Callithrix jacchus: one gene and its partners. The protein of the gene in region 5 interacts with the protein of the main gene of each other region in a pairwise test. Links are inferred from orthologs where the notes say so. Each region holds a gene or a part of one and is shown on either strand. Other genes may lie near its edges. The genes, in order: EIF5A2, NUDT18, REL, MAPK3, DHPS and NIF3L1.

Evidence for each region.
Region 1: the proteins of DHPS (region 5) and EIF5A2 interact in binary tests that used the Homo sapiens proteins (3 or more experiments, as listed by UniProt). The two-hybrid records come from large-scale screens. The link is inferred for Callithrix jacchus from reciprocal best matches to the Homo sapiens genes DHPS and EIF5A2.
Region 2: the proteins of DHPS (region 5) and NUDT18 interact in binary tests that used the Homo sapiens proteins (3 or more experiments, as listed by UniProt). The two-hybrid records come from large-scale screens. The link is inferred for Callithrix jacchus from reciprocal best matches to the Homo sapiens genes DHPS and NUDT18.
Region 3: the proteins of DHPS (region 5) and REL interact in binary tests that used the Homo sapiens proteins (3 or more experiments, as listed by UniProt). The two-hybrid records come from large-scale screens. The link is inferred for Callithrix jacchus from reciprocal best matches to the Homo sapiens genes DHPS and REL.
Region 4: the proteins of DHPS (region 5) and MAPK3 interact in binary tests that used the Homo sapiens proteins (3 or more experiments, as listed by UniProt). The link is inferred for Callithrix jacchus from reciprocal best matches to the Homo sapiens genes DHPS and MAPK3.
Region 6: the proteins of DHPS (region 5) and NIF3L1 interact in binary tests that used the Homo sapiens proteins (3 or more experiments, as listed by UniProt). The two-hybrid records come from large-scale screens. The link is inferred for Callithrix jacchus from reciprocal best matches to the Homo sapiens genes DHPS and NIF3L1.

What each region holds. Positions count from the first base shown.
Region 1 is NC_133518.1:16,140,324-16,145,346, reverse strand, and holds the start of EIF5A2 (eukaryotic translation initiation factor 5A-2), read right to left. Parts: upstream 3,172-5,023; 5' UTR 3,074-3,171; intron 2,372-3,073; 5' UTR 2,337-2,371; coding exon 2,172-2,336; intron 1,623-2,171; coding exon 1,518-1,622; intron 1-1,517. UniProt on the Homo sapiens protein: Translation factor that promotes translation elongation and termination, particularly upon ribosome stalling at specific amino acid sequence contexts.
Region 2 is NC_133514.1:19,378,455-19,383,397, reverse strand, and holds NUDT18 (8-oxo-dGDP phosphatase NUDT18), read right to left. Parts: upstream 3,532-4,943; 5' UTR 3,426-3,531; coding exon 3,264-3,425; intron 2,500-3,263; coding exon 2,286-2,499; intron 2,058-2,285; coding exon 1,462-2,057; 3' UTR 1,037-1,461; downstream 1-1,036. UniProt on the Homo sapiens protein: Mediates the hydrolysis of oxidized nucleoside diphosphate derivatives. Hydrolyzes 8-oxo-7,8-dihydroguanine (8-oxo-Gua)-containing deoxyribo- and ribonucleoside diphosphates to the monophosphates. Hydrolyzes 8-oxo-dGDP and 8-oxo-GDP with the same efficiencies.
Region 3 is NC_133515.1:53,236,868-53,241,328, forward strand, and holds part of REL (proto-oncogene c-Rel), read right to left. Parts: intron 3,931-4,461; exon of another isoform or gene 3,863-3,930; intron 2,885-3,862; exon of another isoform or gene 2,728-2,884; intron 2,056-2,727; coding exon 1,907-2,055; intron 1-1,906. UniProt on the Homo sapiens protein: Proto-oncogene that may play a role in differentiation and lymphopoiesis.
Region 4 is NC_133513.1:29,409,470-29,413,640, reverse strand, and holds part of MAPK3 (mitogen-activated protein kinase 3), read right to left. Parts: intron 1,822-4,171; coding exon 1,632-1,821; intron 1,449-1,631; coding exon 1,332-1,448; intron 1,083-1,331; coding exon 968-1,082; intron 587-967; coding exon 455-586; intron 288-454; coding exon 178-287; intron 83-177; coding exon 1-82.
Region 5 is NC_133523.1:11,498,650-11,503,632, reverse strand, and holds the start of DHPS (deoxyhypusine synthase), read left to right. Parts: upstream 1-1,461; 5' UTR 1,462-1,576; coding exon 1,577-1,783; intron 1,784-1,947; exon of another isoform or gene 1,948-2,055; intron 2,056-2,388; coding exon 2,389-2,553; intron 2,554-2,790; coding exon 2,791-2,912; intron 2,913-2,993; coding exon 2,994-3,090; intron 3,091-3,169; coding exon 3,170-3,256; intron 3,257-4,983. UniProt on the Homo sapiens protein: Catalyzes the NAD-dependent oxidative cleavage of spermidine and the subsequent transfer of the butylamine moiety of spermidine to the epsilon-amino group of a critical lysine residue of the eIF-5A precursor protein to form the intermediate deoxyhypusine residue.
Region 6 is NC_133507.1:122,002,602-122,007,062, reverse strand, and holds part of NIF3L1 (NIF3-like protein 1), read right to left. Parts: 5' UTR 4,439-4,461; coding exon 4,003-4,438; intron 3,133-4,002; coding exon 2,970-3,132; intron 729-2,969; coding exon 602-728; intron 1-601. UniProt on the Homo sapiens protein: May function as a transcriptional corepressor through its interaction with COPS2, negatively regulating the expression of genes involved in neuronal differentiation.

The DNA of each region.
Region 1 (5,023 bases), on a different chromosome or scaffold from region 5:
TGAATATAATGAATATTGAATATTCAACACATTCATATTTTAAGATGAAAAGAGAAACCCAATTTTGACAAAAGAAAATTCTATGCTCAGCTTTGGCCTACTGTATTATCCTTACCACATTCAATAATCACATATACATTTAACAAATGCATTTTGAGCATCTACTACACACCACATCAAATTTGGTGCTCTAACAATAAAGAAATGATAAAGTAGAATTTATACATAGGAAAAGGGGGAAACAGAAGAATACTTGTTGATACATATCCACAAAAGGGGTATATTTTCTCATTTATCCTCATATTATCCTGATTTTGTGATGAGAAAACAGGCTAAGACAGGTTGTATAACTTGTCCAAAATCATCCAACTAGAAAGTGGCAGAACTAGATCCAAACCCAGATCTACCTCATTAAAAAACAAACAAAAAAACAAAAAAAACACTTGCTGTTATATGAAGACAATTCAAATTTCTACAAAGACTTCAAAGCAATCTAGAAAACATTTAGGACAGGTAGGAAAGTGAAAATATAAGTGTTACTAGATTGAAACTCCAAAAATTATGTTTGCAGGTGGACAAACAGCAAAAGAAAATCATTGGGTGCAGCTGATAGCAACATTAAAAAAATCTATATAATACAATAAAAGGTACAGAAAAAAGTCAGTTTAATTTGGATAAAACAAATCTCAGTGTCAACTCTGCATTTTTTACTATGTAAGATGAGCAAAAATGAGTTTGATATATGGTATGCTTGATACAAAAAGTGAAGACTTTCAAGAAAAGCTTTAGCTTTGAGTAATCTGAGCTTCCATATCCTATGAGGTCAATTATTTGGTTACCATCGATATTCCAAACACTAAGATGCTATCATTAAATATGACCTCCCCAATGTATAACTGAAACTTGAGGTTTACATATATAAGTTAGCAAAAGGTCACAGCATGGTCACTAAATATAATTAAACCATTTATATAGTTTTTGTGTTTTCTTTATCATACTCGGTGACCGTGTATTTTATCCTTTATATTTATGGGTTTCAGCTTATTTCCCTACTTAAGAATGTCAAGTTCTGACTCATGTTCATTAACATGAAAAACTTGGTAGGAACATGAATTTCAGTAGTTTCTTGAATGTCTTAAGTCTGATCAGTGAAAAGAAACAAAACATCCAGGAGGGAGCTATCTAAATTAGAAATATTTTACAACAGAGAGGATGGTACTTTTACAAAGCATAGGACTTAGCTGGAATATGCAGTCACTTGGCCTGAGGAACACAATAAGTATTTGACTTTTTAAAAAATGCAAGAATATGAAAAAATAGCAAGCTGGCAATAATCCTATAAAAGGAACACATGTTAAACATCATAATTTCTCCAATTTCTAAGATAGGTGGTGCCTAATACTTGGTTAGAAAAACCTACAAAACCACTCTTGGGTTTTGTCAAATTGCTGTTGATAGTATGAAGTATTTGTACCTTGAAGAAACAAGCAACATTCTAAAGAAAAATCAGTGCTTACTTGGTAATCATTTCTCTTAATATTTGGAACATCCATGTTGTGAGTAGAAGGACAAATATCTTCATATTTTTTGCCCGTGAAAATATCAATTCCAACAAGGTGAACCTAACAGAGGGGAACAGGAAACCTGTTTAATCTCTGCCAAGTATATCACTCATTACACACACAAGAGTACAATACCAACGCTGATTACGACAGGTTCTTTTTCTCCTCCTTCCAAGGTCATCTAATTTTACTTTCTTAAAAAAAAAAAGTAATGGTCATACAATTAAGATGCAGTAACAACTAAAGAGTATCATGACCTGCCAAGACCCAATATAGTCCAGTGATTCAATTATGAGTAGACAAGAAAAATAAAGTGTAGGTTTCTTAGAATTAGTAGAACAGGTTTTCTCATCTGTAAACTGAATAGACCTAGGTCACTACCATTCAAGAAAGTTTCAGTTCCCCGTTAATGAAACATTGTAAGGGTCCAAGAAAGGAATGCTACCTTTAAGTTTTCAAAGTAATAACTGATCACTCAGCAATTGTGGGACAGAAAAAAATAGTGCTTATTACAAAATTTTAAGTATAGTAATCTCATGATCTGCAACAGAATACAAATGAGCAAAATCCCAAGGCCGAAGCCAAAGCCTGAACAGCAAGGGCACTTACCTTGGCATGACCATGCTTTCCAGTTTTGGAAGTTGACATCTCCACTATTTTGCATGGTCGTCCTTTGAGCACCACAAAGCCGTTTTTGCGCAAGGCCGAGCACTGCATAGGGTAAGTGCTGGAAGCCCCAGCATCTCCAGTAGTGAAATCAATTTCGTCCGCCATGGTGGGTTGGGGAGGTGGTAGTTTTTCTGTGTGAACTACACAAAAAGTTTGTGGTTGCTTTTTAACAATGGGTGTGTAGGCAGGGAAACGTCTCATTTCGGACAAGTTATGTGCCAAGCATCATGGGCCTGTTATTTCTGCATGTATAGAACACCCACCCTAGACTAGCGGGCACTCTCTAACTCTGGCCTCTAGAAACTTTTCCAGCTATTGTTTGGGGAGGTGGGATGAGAAGTCGCAGAGGAGCCCGCAGAGGGTGGGGACATCCGCCCTGGGCGCTCCTCCACGCTGGAAACAGCAGGTTCTGGCGCCCATCGCCCCAACGCAGAAGCCGGCGACCTTCCCGCGCCACCCAGCTCTCCGCCGCCGCCCCGAACCCTACTGCGGGGGACCCAGCCCAGGCCGCACGTCCCCGCGAAGGATGCGGAGTAACAGGACCTGGCCGGCAGCACCCGGCCCTCTGCTAACGGGCGCGCACCGCGCCCTCCACCCTTCAGCGCCGCCGCTGCGGCCGCACAAGCGCCTCCTGTTCTGCCGGCATCCCCGGCTCTGCTCGGCTCGGCCCGGCCCGGCCCGGCTCGGCCCCACCAGGGCCTGAGCCCCGGCGGGTCCCGCGCTTGCCTCCGTTCCCCTATCCATTCTTCTTCCTTCCCTCGGTCAGCGCTCGGCTCTGGGCGCCTTCCCCGGCCCTGCCTCGCTCTGGCCCCATCCCCATCAGCTTTTCCCCAGATCCTCACCTTTCAGCTGGCTACGAGCGCCTTTCGCCTGCGCACCCGCGCAGGTCCCCCACAGCTGCGGCGCCGGCGGCGGCGGCGCTGGCGGCCGCGGCAGTTCCAAGAGCCGGGGCGGGGCCGCCACACTTTCCACACCCCAGCCTCCCCGCCCTTACCCGCCCCCACCCCAGCCTTACTTCCGGGATAGGCCCTGGAGCGTCACAGGCACCGCCCCCTCGGGCTACCATTGGCTACCAGGTTCCCGAGGCCCCGCCCAGTCACGTGAAGCGCGCCCTGGCAACCCCACGTGCTGCGGATTAGTGCACTTCCGGCGTGGAGAGCACTTTCAGCATTCTGGTTGCTTGAGTGAGCTCGCTGGCAGAGGAACTTGCGCCTTCCAACTCTTAGGTTTGTTGCGTTTGGGTCGCAGTCTACTTTAATGGGAACCAAGTGAGGCACCCGGTGGCCCGTGCCGTCAGGTACATGGCAGTTATCACGGGACGATCGTCGGCACTCGTGAGGTGCGCAGATTCAGTGAGTGCCAATGTGGCTGGCTGTGAAGGGAACTTTGGGTTAGAGCTTCTGGTTCAGCTTGCAGCCTTTCTTGGGGTTCGAAGCCCCCTCCTGGTCTTCGCAGAAGAACTCACGTGCAGTATTTTATTACCCGGCTCGGCACCATGGGTTCTGAGAACCTCACTCACCCCTTGGTGAGATTTTGGCATTGACTGCCGCAGGGTGCCCCTGTAGAGTCAGCACTGCTCCCTGGGGTGGACACTCCTGAAGCATCCGCCAGCTTACAAGCAGCAGTGAAATGACTTAATCCACTTCTCACACCAAAAGCTGTTGTGAAGTTGTGGAGGCGGAGCTTGTCTGACCCGTATCACATTGTTGGTCCAGACAGGTGTCCTGCCAACTCATCCCTTCTTTCCTCCTGGTATTGGCATTCCTTAGAGTTTGGGTTTTAACTCTGCCGTATTAGAACGCTTGGATGGTCTTCACAACTGACCTAGAGCTTGTAGACTGCAATAGAAAGGTTCTTAAAAGAGATGTGCTCCCCCTTCACATTTTTATTTCACAACCCACTGTGTCCTTTCTTGGGGAGGTGACCTAGGAAATTACTTCTCATTCCACACCCGCATTTATGTGGTACTTTGATTTCCTGTTACTGTCTTATGAATAATCTCATATCTCACATTCATATATGACTACAGTTTACACATATCTTTCAAACATGTACAGTTTAACTTTTACAGTAAGTTACTGCCCTCTCATATACTGAACTCAGCCTCTAGCTAATATATGAAACAGCCATTACAGCAGTGGCTCATGCCTGCGATCCTAGCAGTTTGAGAGGCCTCCGCAGGTGAGTTGCTTGAGCTCAGGAGTAGGAGATCAGCCTGGCTAACATGGCGAAACCTTGTCTCCACCAAAAATACAAAACATTAGTGATGGCCTGCGCCTGTGGTCCCAGCTACTTGGGAGGCTGAGGTGAAATGATCTATCACTTGAGCCTGGGAGGTGGAGACTGCAGTGAGCCGAGATCTGGACATTGCACTCCAAACTGGGTGACAGAGTGAGACCATCCCGCCCCCCCACGCCCAATCACCCAGAAAGAAAAAGCCAGATTGGAGTTTTGGTTCATGAGGTCTTTCTGCTTTTCCTTATACCTTCTAACTTTTCCCTATTGTTTTTAGAATGAGCACTAATAGTATTTAGTATTTATATAGGGAAGTAGGGTACTAAATTTTTCACATGCATTGTTCCTTTGATCTTGACTGCTGCTCTCTATTTTTAACCTTTTTAAGTTATTCATATAAAGTAAAATTTCCCTTTTAGTTTTATGATGAGTTTTATGATGATCAAGATATGTTTTTCAAAACTCATAAAACTAAAAGGGACAAATTTTACTTTATATGGGACTTTATATACTAAAAGGGACAAATTTTAAAATCTATTTTAAGTAGACTGGGCGTG
Region 2 (4,943 bases), on a different chromosome or scaffold from region 5:
ACTTGATGTATTTTATTTGTTCATTTCCTTGAATTTTCCCTTAAATTTTAGTAAAATTCTTTTTTTTCTTTTCAGAGTCTTGCTCTCTCACCCAGGCTGGAGTGCAGTGGCCTGATGATGGCTCACTGCAGCCTCAACCTCCTGGGCTCAAGCAGTCCTCCTGCCTCAGCCTCCTGAGTAGCTGGGACTTACAGGTGTGCACCACCTCACCTGGCTAATTGTTTTTGTTTTGTTTTGTAGAGACAGGGTCCCACTATGTTACCCAGGCTGGCTTCAAACTCTAGCCTTTAAGCAATCCTCCTGCCTCAGCCTCCCAAAGCACTGGGATTACAAGTGTAAGCCACTGTGCCTGGCCAAAGTTCTTTTTTATTTTGAGGGAGTGTGTCACCCAGGCTAGAGTGCAATGGTGCAATATCAGCTTAGCTCACTGCACCCTCTGCCTCTGGGGTTCAAGTGATTCTCCTGCTGAGCTAGCACACTTGCCTCATTTTGTATTTTTAGTAGAACCAGGATTTCTCCATGTTGGTAAGGCTTGTCTTGAACTTCCAACCTCAACTGATCCACCTGCCTCAGCCTCCCAAAGAGCTGGGATTATAGGCATGAGCCACTATGCCCGGAGCTTACTTAAAAAATAAAAAAAATCCTACCGTGATTCAGCCAGGCTGAGGGGAAATGAAGACAAGGTTTGGTCTGGCGTGGGCTGAAGTTGTGAAAAGGCAGAGGCAGGAGAGCCGTGGGAGGGGTCCACACCAGGGAGGCTCAAGGAGAAAGCTGAGGCAGCGCTCTCTCCTGTCCCACGTGAACCTCCCCCAGGGTCACCCACTACCCAACCCTTGGAGGACTCAAGCTGTGTTTCATGAGGGATGGGTCCCCTCAAGAGTCACATCCCAGGCCAGCAGCCCAGCCTGGACAGCAGGCTGGCCCGCATTGTCAGTGCACTGGGAAAGACATAGGTGGCTGTCGGTGGCACAAGGGGAGGAGCAGCTCTTGGACGCAGTCCACATCACTTTGTCCCCACAGAGACATCTAGGCAGGGAGGCAAGGTAAGCAACACCTCTTTACTGAGCAAGGGCTCCTCCCTCAGGAGACCTTCCCCAGGGCCCCTCCCAGCTCTAAGGGCCTGGAGGGATCAGGATGCAGGCCTTTCCCAAGGAAAACACAAACTGTGATGACAAGACACCACTGGGAGTGCAGAAAGCTCCCAACCCCCGGGGAGAAGTGCCAGTGTGCCCGAAGAGTGGCCAGGTCCTGAGCTTTGGATTCCTTGCTTGGTTAAAGGCACTGTCCCTGTGCGATCTAGAGGAAAGCTCCTCAAAGCATCTCTTCTGGGGACCAGGAAAGCACCCCTGCTCCCAATGCAACAAGATCCCTGGTCGCCAGCCTCCTGCCTCCCTCAGAGGGAGACAAGGCCACACTGGAGGGAGCACAGCCGCCCAGCTCCTCGTCACCTCCTCCCCCGCCCTATCTGTTCACTGGGACAACAGAGGATCCCTGAAGCCGCTGAAGGAGCTGGCTTTGCAGGCCTTCCTCCGTCACCTTCCACCAAATGAAGTTCTCACCCCGAACCTTCGGGGGTTCATCCTGGATCCCTGGGCTCCGAAAAGCCACAGTCACCAGCACATTCAGACAGATGCCATCAGTGTGATCTCGGCCCAGGTGCTGCAGCCCAAGCAGCCCCTTGATCTCCACCACCAAGTGGTGCAGGGTCAGACACTCCTGCAGCAGCCGCAGGACAGCCATCTTCATGCCACCCCTCTGCTCCGAAGGGGCGAGGCCACAGGCAGTGACAGGCAAGTGAGGCATCCCCACTGTGCCAACCAACACCCACACTGTCTGCGCACTGGTAAAGGTGGCCACAAGCCGCTGGCAGACCAGATCACAGGGCAGCTCTTGGGGCAGAATGAGAGGGTGCCTGGCTTGCTGGCGATACTGGGCAGCGAGCTCAACCAGGTGCAGGATGTCATGGGCTCGCAGTGGAGTGGGCAGGGAGGTCCGTGGGTACCAGGCAGCCTGCAGGGACTCTGCATCAGCCTCCTTGGAAGTCTTGAGAATTCCACCTGGGGAGATGTGGGGGATGGGGCAGAGGGTCTGTGTGGAGAGAAGTGCAGTGTTGGCAGCTTCAACAGACATCCCTGACCCAGGAGAGAGGCCCCCAGCCTGCAGGCTGGAATCTGCCCATGCCAGAGTGCCATAACAGGACTGGCTGTGGAGGGGCTCACCTCACCAAGCAGCTGGGGAAAAGATGTCAACTGGCCCTGTTCATACTGCCTCCAGGTAGGCCATACCTGTGGGGCGAGCGAGGAACACGAAGCGGACCCAGGAGGGGCCCCGCTCCTCCACGGACAGCAGTGTCTCAGGCTCACAGTGCAGCCCCGCCTCCTCCTTCACCTCCCGCTGCAGCGCCTCCACGATGGACTCCCCAGGCTCCATTCTCCCCGCGGGCAGGTACCACGACCCCCGACACTCTCTCTTGGCCTCCTGGACCAGTAGCACCTCATCCTGAGGGGAGAGAGCATCTTCACTTCCTGCCATAGCCTTCCCCAGCCCAGGGACCAGGGGGCATCTCAAACACAGTCGCCCAAGATCGCCCTTAAACCAGCTAGCGCTGCGGGAGATCTGCCCTCAAGTTGCTGGGGGCTGCAACCTTCTCCCTGCAATTAGTCCCTCTCTGGAGTTAAGAAAACTTGCACTTCAGAAAGGGCTGAGATTCCTGGAAGCTGCTTCAGGGGCTGGAGATGAGGCCCCAGAGTGAGGGCCACCATGTGTCAGTCTTGCATTGACTTACGTCTGTACATGTCATTGGGTATCTCTTGTCTCCAGCGGCGTGGCCTATGAACTGTTTGTGATGGATCCTCACCCTGGGGTCTGGCTTTGAAACACGACCCCCGACCTCCACCTTGTACAACCCTGCCCTATGGCCCTGGCCCCTTCTAGTTGCCCAGTACGGGGATCCACACCAAAGGCCTGAGGTAAGCCAGGGTTGAGCGACTGCTATCTGAGGGGTCCTGGGCACTCCGCTAGACTCTGGGAAGGGAAAGAATGAGGCCTAGTGGGGTGAGACGAACAGGCCCCCGGCCTGAGTTTCCTCTTCTCCATATTGGGACGACTGCAGGACACAGATGCGAGTGGGAATGGGAGTGCTTTGCAAAACTGGGCAGCGCCATGCACGCGGCAGCGCTGGCTGTGGCCGTTGGGTCTTCCGTTCCCACCTGGGCTGGCTGCGCGCTCCCGAGGCCCTGCGGGCCCGGCTGGCGGCCGCTCACCTGCTCGCTGAGGAACACCGCCAGCACCACGTAGCACACGTTCTTCCGCAGCCGCACCGGTGCCGGTGGCTCCCCGGCCGGCGCCGAGTCGCAGCTCTGCACGCGCAGCCCCTGGCCGGCCAGCACGGCCGCCAGCACTCCCGCCATACCCTCGGAAGCCATCGGGTCCCCCGGGAAGCGACGGCCCGGGTCCTGGCTGACCCGCCGGACCGAGCCGCGGACAAGTGCGGGATCCGGCGGCGGCGGGCCTGGGCGCGCACGCGAACGCGGAAGCGCACGCAAGCCCTGGTCGCTGATAGGCTGCGCGGCGCCGCGGCCTGCCCGGATTGGCCGGCCCGCGACAGTCACCGAGGGGGCGGGGCCGCTTGGGAGCAGGGTGGGTTCCCGGCCGGAACCCCACGGACTCCCACCGGGCTTCTGCCGCCTGTCGGTCCCGCACGCTCGGGACGTCTCCCAGCTGCCCCCTTCACCGACTGCCTGAGCGCGCACTGGTCCGCAGGGGCTCCGATGGTCAAGTTATCTCTCATGCAGGGTGCTTTTCGCCGCCGGCGCAAGCGACAGTGACGTACAAGCCAGGTGACGTCACGGAGATCCGGGGCCGCCCCTTGGACCTACCGTCCCGCTGTTGCCGTAAACACACTACGGCATTGCCGGAGTTGATCACATCCCAAATAACTTTGTTCTCACTCTACTAAAGAGTTATGTCATGTGGCCCCTGGGGTGGGGGACGTAAACCCCTGCCTTTCAGGATATTCTGTTGTAGCTGGAGAGATGGGCGTAGTCCTAGATGAGGAATCAGCTGACGGTTCGAGGCTAAGTGCTAAAGGCTTGGCTTGGGCAAGAAGAGTGACCGGCGCTGGAAGAGGGAGTGGGCAGGGCCGGGGGTGGCGGGAGGTGTCGGGGGCTGAGAGAGGGCTGCAGTCAGCCGGCCCACCCTCATCAGTGGCCCTCTGCCCACCTCATTTCCCACGCAGCTCAAGGCCCTCGCCGCTGCAGACGGTGCGTCCTGGGAGGGCGGGGCTGGGGCCCTGCTCCTCCATCCTTGTCGTCACCCTCCCACCCAGCGTGCAGGACCTGGCGCATGGAGAGCAGGGTGGGGGTTGTTGTGGCGAGCGCCGGCTCCTCTCCCATCCCGACCTTTCCTCCTTCACTCGCATTTCAGCAGTGGAAGTCAAGGCCAGCTGGAAGGGATCTTCGAAGCAGGCCGTCTGGCTCCTCACCCCACAGAGGCCACCCCTTTCCTCTTCCTTGGCTGGTTTTTTGCACCTCCCTGCTAGGAAGACAGGCTTGGTGGTGTGGACAAAGCTCGAGACCTGGAGCCAGATGGCTGGTCGCTGCTGGCTGTCTTGCTCTGTGCCCCTGGGTGAGCTGTGGGCCTCAGTTTCCTGATTTGTAGAGTAGGGTCATAACAACTCTTGTTTTACAGGTGTGTTGGGAAGGCATGACAATCAGAGAGGAGCTGTGTGGATTGTCCAGTGCTGGGCACCACCCCTGGGCAGCCCACCAACCCTCAGGGGTGGTCCCTCTCGGGCCTAGCTCTTCTTGCTACCACACACAAGGCCCGTCCTCATAATATGTGCCTTTTGTTACCCCCTAGAGACAGGGTTTCATTCTGTTACCCAGATTGGAGCTGCAGTCTTGAGCTCTTGGGTTCAAGCTATCTTTCTGCCTCAGACTGCT
Region 3 (4,461 bases), on a different chromosome or scaffold from region 5:
GAAAGGACAGCCAGAAAAGCAAGAAGTAAAACGGAAGTTTATTCTCACAGAAGTAAAGAATAAAAATGTTTCAAGTAAGAAGTGATCACAATGTAAAATGTTATTGAGAGGTCAAGTAATATAGACAAATATTTGCCAAGTGTGTATGTTTTGTGTTATTATTGTTAAGAGGAGCATTTAAGGCATTTTTTTTCTAAATGGTTATTACTAATATATGTGGGACTATGAATCTCTTTTTTATTGTAACTAGTTCATTTTCCCCCAAAAGCCAATACATGTTCATTACAAAAATGAATTATAAAATAAGGTAAAAGACAAACATAAAACCCTACAATCTTACCCACCCAGACAACTACTATTAATACTTTAGTACTAACATATGTACTATCATGTATATATATAAATTTATATTTATAAACATAAGATTATTCTTCACATATTGTTTTAAAACCTATTTATCTGGCAAGCTGCGGTGGCTCACGCTTGTAACCCCAGCACTTTGGGAGGCTGAGGCAGGTGGATCACTGAAGGTCAGAAGTTTGAGACCAGCCCAGCCAACATGATGAAACCGTCTCTACTAAAAATACCAAAAAATTATCTGGGCATGGTGGCACACACCTGTAATCCTAGCTAAATTGGGAAGCAAAGGCAGAAGAATTGCTTGAACCTGGGAGATGGAGATTGTAGTGAGCCGAGATTGCACCACTGTACTACAGCTAGGGCAACAGAATAAGACTCCGTCTCAAAAACAAAAAAAAACCAAAGCAAAAAACCCTATGTATCTAATATATTGTGATTGTCTTTACATATCAGTAGACATATTTGCAATATGATTTTTAAGGCTGTACAGGAGTACACTGGATGAATGTACCAGTTTATTTAGTTAATCCCCTTTACTATTTGGATTGCTTCTAGCTTTTTGCCATTACAAAGAGAACTGCAATGAACAGCACTAGAGTGAAATGTCTGAATAGGCTTATTTATTTTCTGAAGCTAAACTAGAAGTGGAATTGCGGGCTCAAGAGGCATTCATATTTTTCAGGCTTTTGCTATGTAGTTAAATTGCCTAACAGATTTCATTAATTTACATTCTCACTAACATGATGAATGGGCCCACCTTCTGGTAGCCTCACGATCATAAACTATTACATAATTATTTTTCTCTTAGAACTATTGCTGTATGTTAATTCTATAACCTGCTACTTTCTAAATAATAATTGTAGAGTTTTCCAGTTGATTTCTCCCACATCCAGCCATTTTTATATTAACTATAAATGGGTGTGGCATGGTGGCTCACACCTATAATCCCAAGCACTATGGGAGGCCAAGGTGGGCAGACTGCTTGAGTCTAGGAGTTCAAGACCAGCCTGGGCAACACGGCAAAATCCAATCTCTACGAAAAATACAAAAATTAGCTCGGCATGGTGGTACATCCTGTAGTCTCAGCTACTCAGGAGGCTGAGGCTAAAGGATTGCTTGAGCCTAGAGGTAAAGGTTGCAATACGCCGAGATCATGCCACTGTACTCCAGCCTGGGTAACAGAGTAAGACCCTGTCTCAAAATAATAACAACAATAATAATAAAGATAACTATAAATGAAAAGATAGTAAAAAATTATTTAAAAAACTGTTCACCCCAAGAAAGGAAATCACAGTATACAATAAGTTTAATGTTTACTTTAAATAACTACAAAAATGTCTTCCTGCTAATCATCATCATAAGATGTGTCTACAAATGAAGAACGAAAGGGTAGTTGTAATGCAAATAGTAAGAAGATGTAAAACATAGTAAACAGAATTAGAATGAGAAAATTATTCTGCTTAAAAGTAACAAATTGTCATGGAGAAGAAACAGAGCATCCTATGCCTTATCTTGTTTCTGAAGATGTCTGTAACTGTATACTTACAACAAAGGTCTGCGTTCTTGCCCAAATTCTGCTTCATAGTAGCCGTCTCTGCAGTCTTTTCCAACTAAATCATGAGGATGAGGTTTATATGGGTCATTCTTCGTTACTAATGTAATTCTCACTTTTCCTTTTCCATAATAGTTCATAATCTGAAAAAAGGGGGAAATTAAATATATGATCCAAATGGATCACATTATAAACAGATCTAAATGAGAGTTCAATTTACATTAATTATCATGTAATCAACACCTGATAAATAAAGTCCAACTGATGAAACTTTCCAGAGAATACCAGTAGAGAAAAACTTACCTCTCAGTTCATTGACATATTTTCTGCCCTAATTTCAATTGGTCAAATCATTTGACTATGCTTATTTTCCTTTCAAAACAAATAAACTATACCCAAATTTTATCATAGACATGAGAAAACAGATGTTAAGTTACTGAATGCCCAGCTCTTAAATGTACTGTCATGCCATAAACATTCCTTGAAAATATATTTAAGCCACACTGGAAAGGATAGCATATAAAATGATCATTTTACTTAATATGTGACATTCCACTTCATAAAAATATTTGTTCAGTAAGCATACCCCAAGAGTTCACTCTAGAATAGGCAATAAATCAAATTTAGTTTAACAACATCAAATTTCACATAGAAAGTACATACAGAACAGAGTAAAAAGGAGAGTTTAACATGGAAAAGGAAGGATAGAAACTAATGCTTAGTTTGAAAGCTAGTAAATTTGTAAGAACAAAGCAGGGCATATAAAAACCAGCATACCACAAAGGAACAAGGTAAAGTAAGAATGGGTAGCTTACCAGGTAGCGGCCACTAAAATCTGTAATTTTGAATTTAAATAGAATTTGAACAGTAACCAGAAGGTATTACATTTCTTTCTGGATGAAAGAGAAGGTAATTGCTCAAGACTCTAAGGAGGCAAATACAAAACTCAAGCTGCAAAGTGTTCAGGACCTACTGGAATTGTAAAAATACAGATCTTAGAAATATTTTAGAGATGCATAGGATAAGATGAATTATAGTTTAAAAATGGCTCCAAAATTGGACAAATAGTATTTCCTTATTTCCTTTTTATTAGCACCTCATCCATTTTAACATTTAAAATACTTAGATAACCCAAATCCATATTACTGCCTAAAATGTGATAAAAATAGGAATCTGGAATTCAATATATAATCTTGCCATTAGTTTATTCTATAATTAGCAATTCCCTTTAAGTTCATCAAAAGAATAGACTTTGTAAATAATCTACTTATAAAACAGTGAATTAAGATCTGTTGATAAAAGTAACACTTCAAAATCTACTTTGCCATTAAAGTTTTTAATTGGCATTTAAAGGATAAACCCTTCACTGAAAGTCAAATAAAAAAATAGCTGACAAATAGAAAATATAAATTTAGTACATCACGCCTGTAATCCAAGCACTTTGGGAGGCCTAGACGGGTAGATCAACTGAGGTCAGGAGTTCGAGATCAGCCTGGCCAACATGGTGAAACCCCGACTCTCCCAAAAAATACAAAAATCAGCTGGGCATGGTAGTGGGTGCCTGGAATCTCAGCTACTCGTTAGGCTGAGGCAGGAGAATCACTTGAACCCAGGAGGCAGAGGTTGCAGTGAGCCGAGATCATGCCATTGCATTCCAGCCTGGGCAACAAGAGCGAAACTGTTTCAATAAATAAAAATAAATAAATCTAGTACATCTTATAACTATTAGTATGTTTACCAAAGTCAAAAGTTTTTCAAAATTTATGCTAATACAAAAAAAACCATATTTAAAAAGTGTTATTTCAAATCAGTCAACGAGTCAGAGAATCAGAGACAGGCAATAAAGGTAAGGAAAAAGAAGAAAAAGATGTTCTAGTCCTAAGACTAGCCAAGAAGAATTGTGATTGAGTTCTCAAATCCATGTTTAATCTACAGAATAATATCACTCACCTCTGTAAGGAGAGAATGTGTTTTCCTTATTAGCTGTGTGTTCCATGAAAGAGAACATGATCCAAAAGCTGTCAATGTACACTAAACATTATGAGTCGCTCTACTTAGGTTAATACACAAGCACCATATAACTATCTGCAGTGGGAAAGACTCCATACTATATTTAAGAAATGTCCTTAGACATCTATCTAATATAGATCTGTTAAAAAAGTGAAAGAGGGGCCGGGCATGGTGGCTCACACCTATAATCCCAGCACTTTGGAAGGCCGAGGCGGGTTGATCACGAGGTCAAGAGATCGAGACCATCCTGGTCAACAAGGTGAAACCCCGTCTCTATTGAAAATACAAAAATTAGCTGGGCATGGTGGTGCGCGCCTATAGTCCCAGCTACTTGGGAGGCTGAGGCAGGAGAATTGCTTGAACCCAGAAGGCGGAGGTTGCGGTGAGCCAAGATCACGCCATTGCACTCCCGTCTGGGAAACAACAGTGAAACTCCGTCTCAAAAAAAAAAAGAAAAGAAAAGGAAAAGAGGAAAAAATAAAAAGACAAAACTGTGGATATAACTGTGAAGAAACTGGCCCTTAAAAATAATTGCTATA
Region 4 (4,171 bases), on a different chromosome or scaffold from region 5:
CTTGGAAGATGAGCTCCTTCAGCCGCTCCTTGGGTAGGTCATCCAGCTCCATGTCGAAGGTGAAGGGCTCCTCGGCCACTGGCTGGGGTGGCAGAGACGGTAAGGCTCAGGCCCGGTGTGGGGAATGCCGACTTGATCCCCTGCCCCCAGCCCCGCTGCTGCTAGGCACTGGCCCACCTCATCCGTTGGGTCATAGTACTGCTCCAGGTAGGGGTGGGCCAGCGCTTCCTCCACTGTGATCCGTTTGTTGGGGTTAAAGGTTAACATCCGGTCCAGCAGGTCAAGGGCTATGGAAGGGCAGGAGTCAGGGGTCACAGGGAAGGCTGGAGGAGCTCCCAGGAGCATCGCTTTGCTTCCCCATGCCCAGGGCCCGTCTCCTCCGGTGGCTGCTGGACTCACGCACCCTCCACAGCTCCCAGGGTTTATGCCACACCCGTCCCCACGTCTCTCATACCTTTGGAGTCCGACTTGGGGAAAAGCTTGGCCCAGGCCACCTTGGTCTTGGAGGGCAGAGACTGTAGGTAGTTTCGGGCCTTCATGTTGATGATACAATTCAGGTCCTCCTGGGATGGGGAGCCCAGGATGCCTGTGGATAAGGAGGTGACTTGGTAAATGATCACCTCCTCCTTTCTGGGAACAGAACAGGCAAGAGGGCAAGAACAAGACCCCCCAGCCTAGCAACCCATGCCAAACTCTTAGTCACCTCCTAGTCTGCTCTCCCAGCAGAGCAAGGGGCTGGATTCAGGCAGACTGAGGCTCAAATCCTAGGTGTGGTGCCTCCTTAGGTGTAGGACTTAGCCTTGCTTTTCCCATCTTTCCAGTGGGGATAATATCTATACCTCGTTGAGGTCTAGGAGATGCTGGAGGCACCCCGTACATGATGATGATATCCCTGACTCGGACTCTCAAGAAATCTCACCTAGGAAAAGCTAATTATCCCCCACTCAGTCAGCCGGGACTCCCTCACCCAGAATGTGGTTGAGCTGATCCAGGTAGTGCTTGCCAGGGAAGATGGGCCGGTTGGAGAGCATCTCAGCCAGAATGCAGCCCACAGACCAGATGTCGATGGACTTGGTATAGCCCTGGGAGAAAGGAGGAAGTGATGGGCTCCCGGGACAGCCTCAACAGGGTCCTGCTGCCTGTGCCAGGCCACCACCCCAAGCTAGATCCAACACCAGGCAGAAGGCAGAGGCCTGGAGGGCTCCACTCTCAGCTTCCTTGCAGAGCCCAAGCCCAGAGGGTGGAATGGGGGTCAGTGCCTGGCTCAGAGGTAGCTCCAGGGCTTCCTGGGACCTGGCCCCTTCCCTTCAGGAGTGGGCAGCCCCTCCTACCTTGGAGTTCAGCATGATCTCTGGGGCCCGGTACCAGCGTGTAGCCACATACTCTGTCAGGAAGCCAGTGTGGTCGTGCTCAGGATCAGCAATCCGGGCCAGGCCGAAATCACAGATCTGGAATCAGACCCAGCTGCTAAGCTTGGCACTCAAGGCCTCCGCAGCCCAAGCAGTCACTCCCCCTTGTCTTTGCTTCTGCTGTTCCCCTGGCTTGCAATGTTCTCCTGCCAATGGCTTCCACTGGTCACCTGGAAGCTCCAGACCCTGGGGGAGGAGGAGACAGGTGCCCAACCCTCTGACCTTAAGGTCGCAGGTGGTGTTGATGAGCAGGTTGGAGGGCTTTAGATCCCGGTGGAGGACATTGGCGGAGTGGATGTACTTGAGGCCCCGCAGGATCTGGTAGAGGAAGTAGCAGATGTGGTCATTGCTCAGCTGCTGGCTTTTAAGCAACTTGTACAGGTCAGTTTCCATTAGGTCCTGCACAATGTAGCTAAGGATGGTTCCGGAGGCCCCCCGGGCAAGGGGCAGCGGGAGGCACTTGGTTAAGGAAAACAGGCTCTGAAGGCAAGCCTGCACACCTCCAGCCAGGGCCCTTGGGGCTCAATAGAACTTCCAACCTGCACCGCCAGCTGGGCAAGCTGCCGTTGTCACCCAGCAGCAGGACTCAGCCTCTGTTGCATTGAAGCTGCTGAGCCTGAGCAAAAGGCTTCATTTCTGTGGCCTCAGTTTCTCTACTGGGAAAATGGGGATACTAATAAACTGTGGGAGGCAGGAGAACCTCACAGTTAAGAGCAGCAACTGGGGCTGAGCAGTGGCTCACGCCTCTAATCCCAGTACTTTGGGAGGCTGAGGCAGGAGGATTGCTTGAGGCCAGGAGTTTGAGACCAGCCTGGGCAACATGGCACAACCCCGTCTCTACTAAAAATTCCAAAATTAACCGGGCACAGTGGCATGTGCCTGTAATCCCAGCTACTCAGGAGGCTGAGGCATAAGAATGGCTTGAACTCGGGAGGTTGGGGTTGCAATGAGCCAAGATCTTGCCATTGCACTCCAGCTGGGATGACAGGGTGAGCCTCTGTCTCAAAAATAAATAAATTAATTTTAAAAAATAAAAAGGAGTTAACCCATGGATGTGTGAAATCCTCTCTCTACTACTCACTGGCTTTAAGATCTCAACTTGTCTGTGCCTCAACTTTCTCACCTAGTATGTCGGGGAAATAATGTTTTTTGTTTGTTTATTTGCTTTTTTCTTTTTTGTGGAGATGGACTCCTGCTATGTGCTCAGGCAGGTCTTGAACTCCTCGGTTCAAGAGTTCCTTCCGCCTCGGCCTCCCAAAGTGCTGGAAATTACAGGTGCAAGCATGAAATAATGGTTCTTTCGAGGGTGGCTGTAAAGACTAGATGAGGTGGCGCATGTAAAGCTGTCAGCCCAGCGCCTGGCAAGTTGTGAGTGCTAAAGAAACGTGAACTATTATTACTAATATCAAGGCCTGAGTCACAGGGACGCCGCGGGAGTTAAATGAGATAATGGATGAACACCATCTGGCATGCAATAGATGTTTGCTTAAAAATAAATGCCTGCCTTATGGGAATGGTTTGTGCAAGAAAAACGAGGAGACACTCCCAACAGCACACTCCCACTCAAAGAAGAGTGCTTGGCCATACCTCAGAAGATGGAGGAGTAAAATGTCTTTTTCCATTTGAAGCTAAAACAAAGACTGTGAGTAAATAAATAAATAAATCCACAAATGTCGTTTGGCTTGTGTCTGGAAAAATAAGTCAGGTCTGTCTTTTAGAATCTGCCTTGAGGCCAGGCGCTGTGGCTCACACCTGTAATCTAGTACTTTGGGAGGCCAAGGTGGGTTGGTGATCTGAGGTCAGGAGTTCGAGGCCAGCCTGCCGACATGGTGAAATCTCTACTAAAAATATAAAATTAGCCGGGTGTGGTGGTGCACACCTGTAGTCCCAGTTACTTGGAAGGCTGAGGCAGAATTACTTGAACCTGGGAAGTGGATGTTGCAGTGATTGGAGATCTAGCCACCGCACTCCAGCCTGGGCAACAGAGCGGGGGGGGGGGGGGGGGGGGGGGGAGGGGGGGTCTGCCTTGAAGAAGTCTTCAGAGAACATCTGGACCAGCCCTGCTGTTTTAGAGCTGGGGAGGCCCAGTGAGATGCAGTGACTTGCTTCAGATGACACAGCGAGCTGGGGCTGAACGCGGAGATTTCCTGTCCACAGTTTGTGGTGGGGGCTATAGACACCAGAGTACAAATCCCCTCTCTTGGGTGGAGTGCTGGGACCGAGAGTGATTGGGTGTGGCAGGGAAGAGGTGACAGGTGTCACAAGTTGCTAACAAAAGAGCCAGCCAGGAAGTGGACAGCAAACCAGGAAAGCAATATCAGGGGAGGAGACCAAGGCTAGGTTGTCTCCTCCCTGGGCAAAGTGCAAGTCCACAGGTGATTAGGGTGCTGCTTGGAGTGAGAAGTCCTAGAGGAAGGACAACTTCCCATCTGGGGGAGGGGAGGAGGAGACAGCAAGAGAAACACTTGATTTTAGGTTTTCTGGGTCTTAGCTTCCTCATTTTTTTTTTTTTTTTTGAGACAGGGTCATTCTCTGTCCCCCAGGCTGGAGTACAGTAGCACAATCACAGCCCACTGCAGCCTCTAACTCCTGAGCTCAAGCCATTCTCCTGCCTCAGCCTCCCAAGTAGCTGGGACTACAATTGTGCACCACCAAACCTGGTTAATTTTTAAATTTTCTGTAGAGATGGGGTCTCACTATGCTGCCCAGGCTGGTCTTGAACTCCTGGTCTCCAGCAATCTTCCAGTCTTGGCCTCCCAAAG
Region 5 (4,983 bases):
GCAGGGGGATCATGAGGTAAAGAATTCAAGACCAGCCTGACCAACATGGTGAAGCCCCATCTCTATTAAAAATACAAAACTTAGCTGGCATGGTGGCGGGTTCCTGTAATCCCAGCTTCCCAGTAGGGTGAGGCAGGAGAATCACTTGAACCCAGGAGGCAGAGGCTGCAGTGAGTCAAGACTGAGCCACTGCACTCCAGCCTGGGTGACAGAGTGAGATTCCATCTCAAAAAAAAAAAAAACTCCTGATTGCACTCAACATAGTTAACATTCCATCTTCCCAATCAGACTGTGGGCTCCAGTAGGGTCCACATCTTGGTCTCTTTCACCACTAATTCCTCAGTGTCCAGCACAGGGCCCACCGTATAGAACATACTACACGAACTGTAGAGTAAGTGAATAATTCTCTCGACTGTATGCACTGTTAGGAGGGTGCTTTGAGATACCGAGGGTCTCACAGTCTTGCTGGAGGGAAAGATGTCAGCTGTGGGTCCCAGAAGAGGCTACTGACCCAGTGGAAGTTCAGGGAAGACTTCCCAGAGGAGGTGACAGCTGCAGCCATAGGGGAAGGAAGAACAGAGCGTTATGCAGCATGTGAAAGCTTTGGAAACCTGCAAGGGCACGAACCAGGCTCACTATTCCATTAGACAAGAGAGGCTGAGGAAAGCTGAAACCGTGTTTCACTCCGCCTGGTGACTGAAATCCTGTCCATGGGCGACGCTTAAGAAGCGATCCTCTAAACTCCAAGAATGTTAAGTTAAAAAAAAAAGAAAAAGAAAATGAAAGGAAAAAGAGAGAAAAAAAGAATAGATTCCCATACAAAAATTAGCTGGGCACTGTTGGGCGCGGTGGCTCACGCTTGTAATCCCAGCACTTTGAGAGGCCAAGGCGGGCGGATCATGAGGTCAAGAGATGGAGACCATCCTGGCCAACATGGTGAAACCCCGTCTCTAATAAAAAAACAAAAATTAGCCGGGCATGGTGGCGCGTGCTTGTAGTTCTAGCTATTCGGGAGGCTGAGGCAGGAGAATCGCTTGAAACCGGGAGGCAGAGGTTGCAGTGGGCCGAGATCGCGCCACTGCACTCGAAGCTGGCGACAGAGGGTGACTCCGTCTCAAAAAGAAAAAAAAAAAGTAGCTGGGCACGGTGATGCACATCTGTAGTCCCAGCTACTCCGGAGGCTGCGGGGGAGTCGGAGGTTGCAGTGGGCCGAGACTGCACCACTGCATTCCAGCCTGTGAGACAAGAACGTAACTCTATCTCAAAAGAAAAAAAAATTGAAATAAAAAAAATGAAAACAAAAAAAGAATCTTCATTTATACGAAGTCAAGAACTCGTGAAAAGGAATAAAGGCTCCTCGCGGCTTCCGTATTACGGAATACGTGCATAAAGATGGCAGCTACCTGGGTTCGGAGGGCTAAAGAAGGTCACGTGATCGAACAACTTCCGGTCTTCCAAGGCGCTTTCCTGGCTTCCTGTGATCTTGTGGAGACGTGCCTGTCGGGGTAAACGCGTTTCTGGACAGCCGTAACTCCGGCCTAGGGGCATCTGTGACTCGAGAGCCGGTTGCAGGTGCATGGAAGGTTCCTCAGAAGGGGAGGCGCCCGCGGCGGCGCTGGCCGCTGTGCTAAAGCACAGCTCGACGTTGCCGCCCGAAAGCGCCCAGGTCCGGGGCTACGACTTCAACCGCGGCGTGGATTACCGCGCACTGCTGGAGGCCTTCGGCACCACCGGCTTCCAAGCAACCAACTTCGGGCGCGCTGTACAGCAAGTCAATGCCATGGTGAGGACGGGGGCGGGACTTCCAGGGCCGCGGAGAGGCGTGGCTTGTAGAACCAGGGCGGTACTCGAAGGGGGCGGGCTTGTATTTGAGCGGCCCAGCAGTTCGAAGAAGGCGGGACCTATACTGGACGGGAATTTTGTCCTGGGAAGGGGACTTTGCACTCTAGTAGTTACATCCTAGGACAGCCTGAGGAGGCAGGAACGGTTTCTTGGTGGGCGGCCGGGTTCTAGGTCTAAAGCTTTCTGGAATGAGCGGAGCCTGGGGCAAAACAGGTTAAGGGGGCACATGGGAGGAGGAGCCTAAGTCTCCGCGCCCCGGGGCTTGAACTTAGATTTGCTTTTGCCACCGGGGAAGGGACGGGATCTGAAAAGGAGAGCCCTCTTGTTCTTAAAAGGGTGGGGACAAATCCCGAATGCGTGTCCTGAGATCTGGTCTGGGAAGGGGCAGGGTTTGTTTGCACAGGGGGTGTTCCTTGGTTCCTGGTAGTACTGGTCCTGTATCCCTGAATGGGCAGGACCTGGGGTGGAATGTTTCTGGAGCCCACCTGGAGTCCTGGGGCTGGAATTTAGGACCAGTGCTTAACTCGACTTGGCTCTTACCCCCAGATTGAGAAGAAGCTGGAACCGCTGTCACAGGATGAAGACCAACACGCAGACCTGACCCAGAGCCGCCGCCCACTTACTGGCTGCACCATTTTCCTGGGATATACATCCAACCTCATCAGTTCAGGCATCCGTGAGACCATTCGCTACCTTGTGCAGCACAACATGGTGGGGACCTGGTGGGGCCGTGGCCTTGGCCTCTGGGTCAATGGGCGATGCAGTTATTAATCGTTTAAGTGAGATGGGAGATAGGGGTCCGTTTTAAGCAGAGGAATAGAATCAAGTTTTGTTTTGTAGCAGAGCTCTCTTTTAAGAGTAACTGGACGAGGACGAGCTTAGAAGTCCTGCCCAGAATGAGGGCAGGGTCTTCCTTCTTGGGCCAACTTCACTGCCTTGTGGCTGCAGGTGGATGTATTGGTGACTACAGCTGGCGGAGTGGAGGAAGACCTCATCAAGTGCCTGGCCCCCACCTACTTGGGCGAGTTTAGCCTCAGAGGGAAGGAGCTCCGGGAGAATGGGATCAACAGGTGGGACTCCTGAGTGGTGGTGGGCAGGGGAGCTGGACCACGGATCCTGGGGCCTGATGCCCACCTGCTTCCTGTCCTCAGGATCGGAAACCTGCTGGTGCCCAATAATAATTACTGCAAGTTTGAGGACTGGCTGATGCCCATTCTGGACCAGATGGTGCTGGAGCAGAACATAGAGGTGGGGCCAGGGTGACTGGGAGGGGCCAGTCCAGCAGTAGTCAGGGGAGGCGTGGGCTGAAGCTCATGTCCTTTCCTAGGGTGTAAAGTGGACGCCTTCAAAGATGATCGCCCGCCTGGGCAAGGAGATCAACAACCCAGAGTCCGTGTATTACTGGGCCCAGAAGGTGAGGATATAGGCAGGGGCAAAGTAGCCAGACTTTGGCCTGTGTTAACTTACCTTATCTTTCCAGCCACCTGGGGAGTCACTACTGTTATTCTTAGCATCCTCACTCTTCGATGAGGAGACTCCAACACAGATAGGGGTGGTAATTTTTTTTTTTTTTTTTTGAGACAGGCTCTTGCTCTGTCATCCAGGCTGCAGTGCCTGGACTCAAGCAGTCCTCCCACTCAGCCTCTTGAGTAGCTGGGACCACAAGCATATGCCACTGTGCCCCAAAATACTAATTTTTGGCCGGGCGCAGTGGCTCACGCCTATAATCTCAGCACTTTGGGAGGCCGAAGCGGGTGGATCACGAGGTCAAGAGATCGAGACCATCCTGGTCAACATGGTGAAACCCCGTCTCTACTAAAAATACAAAAAAAAAAAAATTAGCTGGGCATGGTGGCACATGCCTGTAGTCCCAGCTGCTCGGGAGGCTGAGGCAGGAGAATTGTTTGAACCCAGGAGGCGGAGGTTGCGGTGAGCCGAGATCGAGCCATTGCACTCCAGCCTGGGCAACAAGAGCGAAACTCCGTCTCAAAAAAAAAATAATTAATTTTTAAGTTTTTTTTTAGAGATGGGGGTCTTCCTATGTTGCCCAGGCTGGTCTTGAACTCCTGGCCTCAAGCAGTCCTCCCACTTGGCCTCCTAAAGTGCTGGGATTATAGCCATGGCCCACCATTCCTGGCCTGGCTAGGTAATTTTGTCTGAAGTCACCCAGATAACTAGTGGGGCCTCAGCCTCCTTATCCTCCTCCCAGACTATCTCTGGAACAGTAGTGGCAGCACTTAGCAACTCCCCTGGGGCCTGGCTCAGGGTCCAACACTCCCAGAGGCTATAAAATAAGAGCTACCCACTCCCTTTAATTAGATCTTCAGAACCTGAAAAAAAAAAAAAAGAAAGCTACTTTTTTTTTTTTTTGAGATATAGTCTTGCTCTGTTGCCCAGGCTGGAGTGCAGTGGTAGGATCTCAGCTCACTGCAACCTCTGCCTCCTGGGTTCAAGTGATTCTCTCACCTCAGCCTCCCGAGTAGCTGGAACTACAGGCACCCGCTATCATGCCTGGCTGATTTTTGTATTTTTGTACAGATGGTTTCACCATCTTGGCCAGGCTGGTCTTGAATTCCTGACCTCAGGTGATCTGCTGGCCTTGGCCTCCTAATGTGCTGGGATTATAGGTGTGAGCCACCACGCCCAGCCTACCTATTCTTTTTTTGAGACAGAGTCTCACTCTGTTGCCCAGGCTGGAGTGCACTGGCACAATAATGACTCACTGCAGTGAGCTTCTGGGCTCAAGCGATTGTCCTGTCCCAGCCTGCTAAGTAGCTGGGACTACAGGTGCATGCCACCATGCCTGGCTAATTTTTTTTTGTAGAGATGGGGTCTTACCATGTTGCCCAGGATGGCTCTTTAAAAAAGAGAGGGCCAGGCCGGGCGCGGTGGCTCAAGCCTGTAATTCCAGCACTTTGGGAGACTGAGGCGGGTGGATCATGAGGTCAAGAAAATCGAGACCGTCCTGGTCAACATGGTGAAACTCTACTAAAAATACAAAAAATTAGCTGGGCATGGTGGCGCGTGCCTGTAATCCCAGCTACTTGGGAGGCTGAGGCAGGAGAATTGCCTGAACCCAGGAGGCGGAGGTTGCGGTGAGCCGAGATTGTGCCATTGCACTCCAGTCTGGGTAACAAGAGT
Region 6 (4,461 bases), on a different chromosome or scaffold from region 5:
AGGAGGAATGTGAAAACGTGGAAACTAAAGTAAATAATGATATTGAAATATGAAATAGGAAAAAAAAAGATACAAAGAGGTGGTGCAGGGATAAGTATTTGTATATATTGAATTTGAAAAACGTGTGGGCTTTGTAAGTAGAACACATCCAGAAAGTAGTTGAAAATAAGGGTTTTTGTCATTTTTTTCCTTAAGAAAGCATTCTAAGCCAAAAAGATAGGAATTATCATCATACAAATGGCTATTGAGTTAAAGTGAATGACATGGTCCAGGCAGAGGGAGTAACATAAGGAGACAGCAAACTTGTAACCAAATCTGTAACCCTGAAGTACCAACATTTTAATTCCTGGAATGTCTCCCTTCTCAATTACTTCCCAGAGAATATTATGCTCTCATTGCCATTTTGTACTTTAGGTAACAGTGAATGGCCTGTTGATCTAATAACTTACAAATGGATTCCCTGAAGAAAAATGCAAAGTAATGACACTCATCAAACTGTATATACCAAATATGTATGATTCTTAGTATATCGGTTATACCTCAATAAAGTTGTTAGAAAATGCACAGTATTTTAAGATCAAATACAAAATACATTTATTACCTTCTCTAGTGACAGAATTTCTGTCTTCCGATAAAGTTGTTTGTTCTGGGAAAGAAAATCTACGACCTGCATCAAAGCCTTCTGAGTACAATTCAAACTAATCCGTGTTTGTTCCTCATCATCAATTCTGGGGGGGGGGAAATCATTCCATTTAGGATAAATATAGCCAAAATGTATTTTAGATAATCCACAGTTTACAAACCTACTATAATAGGAGATTAGATTTACATGGAGCTAAGGATTTAACCAATAGAACCCATTTAATATGAAACTAATCAATTTTCTAGAATAGCATTTCTCTAACTCAAGTATGCATCAAAATCACCTGGAGGACTTATTAAAACACAGAGTGCTGGGCCCCACTCCTGGGGTTTCTGATTCATTATATCTAGGTGGGAATCTAAGAATATACCTTTCTAGCAAGTTCCAGGTGATGCTGATGTTGCTGGTCCAGGGACCTCACTTTGAAACCACCATTCAAGAACTGTTCTCAATCCTGATCGTGCATCAGAAATTTCCTGGCCAGGCACAGTGGCTCACACCTGTAATCTCAGTATTTTGGGAGGCCAAGGTGGACGGATCGCTTGAGCCCAGGAGTCGAGACCAGCCTGGGCAGCATGGAGAAACCCCAACTCTACCAAAAACACCAAAAAAATTACCCAGGCATGGTGGTGGGCGCCTGTAGTCCCAGCTACTAGGAAGGCTGAGGCAAGATAATCACTTGAACTTGGGAGGTGGAGGTTACAGTAAGCGGAGATCACAACACTGCACTCCAGCCTGGGCGAGAGAGCAAGACTCTGTTTCAAAACAAAAAAAAATTCCTTCTAGCTTCTTAAAATAACAGCTGCTGGATCCTTCCACAGAACCAGTGAAACAGAACATCTACAAATGGGGCTGGGGCAAACTGAATTTTTTTAAAACCTTAAAGATGATAATTTTAAAACAACACTGAATCCAAGAATGTCCTGGACAGATTCTCAGGCAAACTCCATTTTACTTACAAAGATCTGAGATGAATACAAATATCTGCATTTTAAATAAGCAGCTCATTAATAATCATGCAGGGGGTCTTTGGATCACCCTCTGGGGCCTCTCCAAAATTATTGGCATCAAGAAAGTTTTACATTTAACCATAAACTCTAAATATGATCATAAAATTCTAGAACTAAAAAGACACCTTTAAAAATAATCTAGAAGCATTAATTATAAACACTGGAATCATCTGTGGATTGTTTTAAAAAAGAAAGAAAACCAATGCCTTGGTCCCTATCTAATGGTAAAACCCAGATATTATCTACAATATGGAAAAACTGGAACCAAACTAATAAGTCCATCAGTAGGAAGAGGAATGCTTAAAGAAACTACCGTTCATCCATAATAAAAAAAAAAAAAACACTATAAGCAATTAAAAATAATGAGAGCTTAGGCTGGGGGCAGCAGCTCAATCCTAGTACTTTGGGAGGTCAAGGGGGGCACATGGCTTGAGCCCAGGAGTTCGAGACCAGCTTGGGCAATAAGTCAAAACTCCGTCTCTACAAAAAATACAAAAATTAGCTGGGCATGGGTGGCAAGCACCTACAGTCCCAGCTATTTAGGAGGCTAAGGTGGGAGGATTGCTTGAGCATGTGAAGTCAAGGCTGCAGTGGGCTGTGATCATGCCACTGCACTGCAGCCTGGGTGACAAAGACCCTGTTTCTCAAAAATAAAAAACAAAAAGAAAAACCTCCTTTCTCTGCCCTAAATAACTAAATGACTGACCTTTTAAAGAGGCGCTTAATGTATTTTTCCTTTGACACCTGAAGTCCTAGCTCAAGAGGCTGAGGTGGGGCTAGGTGTGGTGGCTCACGCCTGTAATCCCAGCACTTTGGGAGGCTGAGACAGGCAGATCACTTGAGGTCAGGACTTCAAAACCAGTCTGGCCAACATGGTGGAATCTTGTCTCTACTAAAAATACAAAAAATTAGCCGGGCATGATGGTGGACGCCTGTAATCCCAGTTACTTGGGAGGCTGAGACAGGAGAATCACTTGAACCCAGGAGGCAGAGGATGCAGTGAGCCATGATCACGCTATTGCACTCCAGCCTGGGTGAAAGCAAGACTCTGTCTCAAATAAATAAATAAATAAATAAAATGCAGAGTATCACCCCCCAACATAGAAATACTCAATTAAGTGTTACTTACCATTTTTGTTGTTTTGAAAAAAAGTCAATAGTTCTCCAGGACTCACATACAAATGAGGAGTACGCTGCTTTGTAAACCAAATCCAGAGAAAATGATTTGTTTCAAGCCTAAATACCAGGGTTATAGACTTTGTAAGGAAGAAGCTTACAAATAAATACACACACAAAAAAAAAGAGAGAAATTTTACCTAGCAGAAAAAGAAGTGACAGAAATATCTTCAATTCCTTTCACTGCGGACATGACTTTGTCCAGGTCTTGGCTGTGATTAATGCTGAATTCTACTCGGTGGTTTCCCTCTGTAGGGTAGTTGGGAGCTTTGGAAGGATGTATGGGTCTGGAAGTACAACCTCCTAGAGAAAATAATTGTGGGAAAATGGGAGTTTTGGGGGATGAGAGGTTAAGATTTAAAAGATAAACTATTGTAGGCAAAATTTCTAAGAAATGACTTTTTTAAAAGATTCATTCTCATGCTTATATGATACATACACACACACATACATATCCCTTAGATATACATCACCATTCCCCATAATCTAGGGCTTTGGTATGGACATACAAAGTCAAATTATTTTCAGAATTATTTTCCAAAAGATTCTTAAATCTCTAAAAAACTTGGACAAGAAAGATTGATTCATACATTTTTAGATAATACACAGAACTGTCTACTGCTTGGTAAATCTACCCACATAAACCATTATTCAGGTTGCAAATGCTCGTACTCTATTTGACCATAGTAATCCAGATATCATCATAAAAGCTTCAGCCCAAAATGAGTAAATTAAAGACTTATTAAAGTAAAGCTAAAATGCATATATCATTCCCTCATTGGGCTAGGCATAGGTAAACATTCACTAAAAACATTCATTAAATCCCTGACGTCTATCTACCTGACGTATCAAGTGTATTCTGGAGAGACCTGAGCTTTCAATTCAACAAGCATTTTTCAAGTGCCTAGGTGACAGGCATTGTGCCACAAAAATGAGGAATCACGAAGCTCAGTCCAGTAAGGAAGACTTCTGCTCTCATTCCATAAAGATAAAAAATGTTTCTCTTTTCAAATGCAATTTAACTGCCAAATTTCAGCAAAATTATTTTAAAATGATATAAAAATGGAATGATACCCTTCCCACCCCGAAAGCAGTCAAAACTTTACTGGAAAGACATTCGAAAGTTTCAAAGTATTTGTAGGTAAAATAACAAATATGAAAGCGGCTTCTCACCAAGCCCTTTAGCCAACCAGTTGTTGACTCCCTGGGGTGCAGCATCATAGGCTGTGTGAGGAGAGTAGATAGCCACTCTGTTCTCCAGAGCCCGGATCACCAGGCGCTCCTTCCAGGTGTTCCACGTTATGCGTTTCATGGGTCGGAAGATAGGTGGATGGTAGGAGAGAATGAGGTCTGCCTTCCTCTGCAGCACCTCCTCCATCACTTCCTCAGTCAGGTCATTCGTCAGGAAGAGGGTATTTACAGTATGTGGTGGGCTTGGTTCCACCAGTAATCCAACATTGTCCCAACTCTCAGCAAAGGAGAGGGATGCAAAGTCATTCAAGGAAGAAAGGAGAGCCTTCAAATCCATGAAGGAACGGGAAGAATTGCAGATCAGGGAATCTATAAACCGGACTGTCGTGGGGACCGGGCGTACACAAGATGACAACATACAGAAATCAGGTAAAAGTCGTT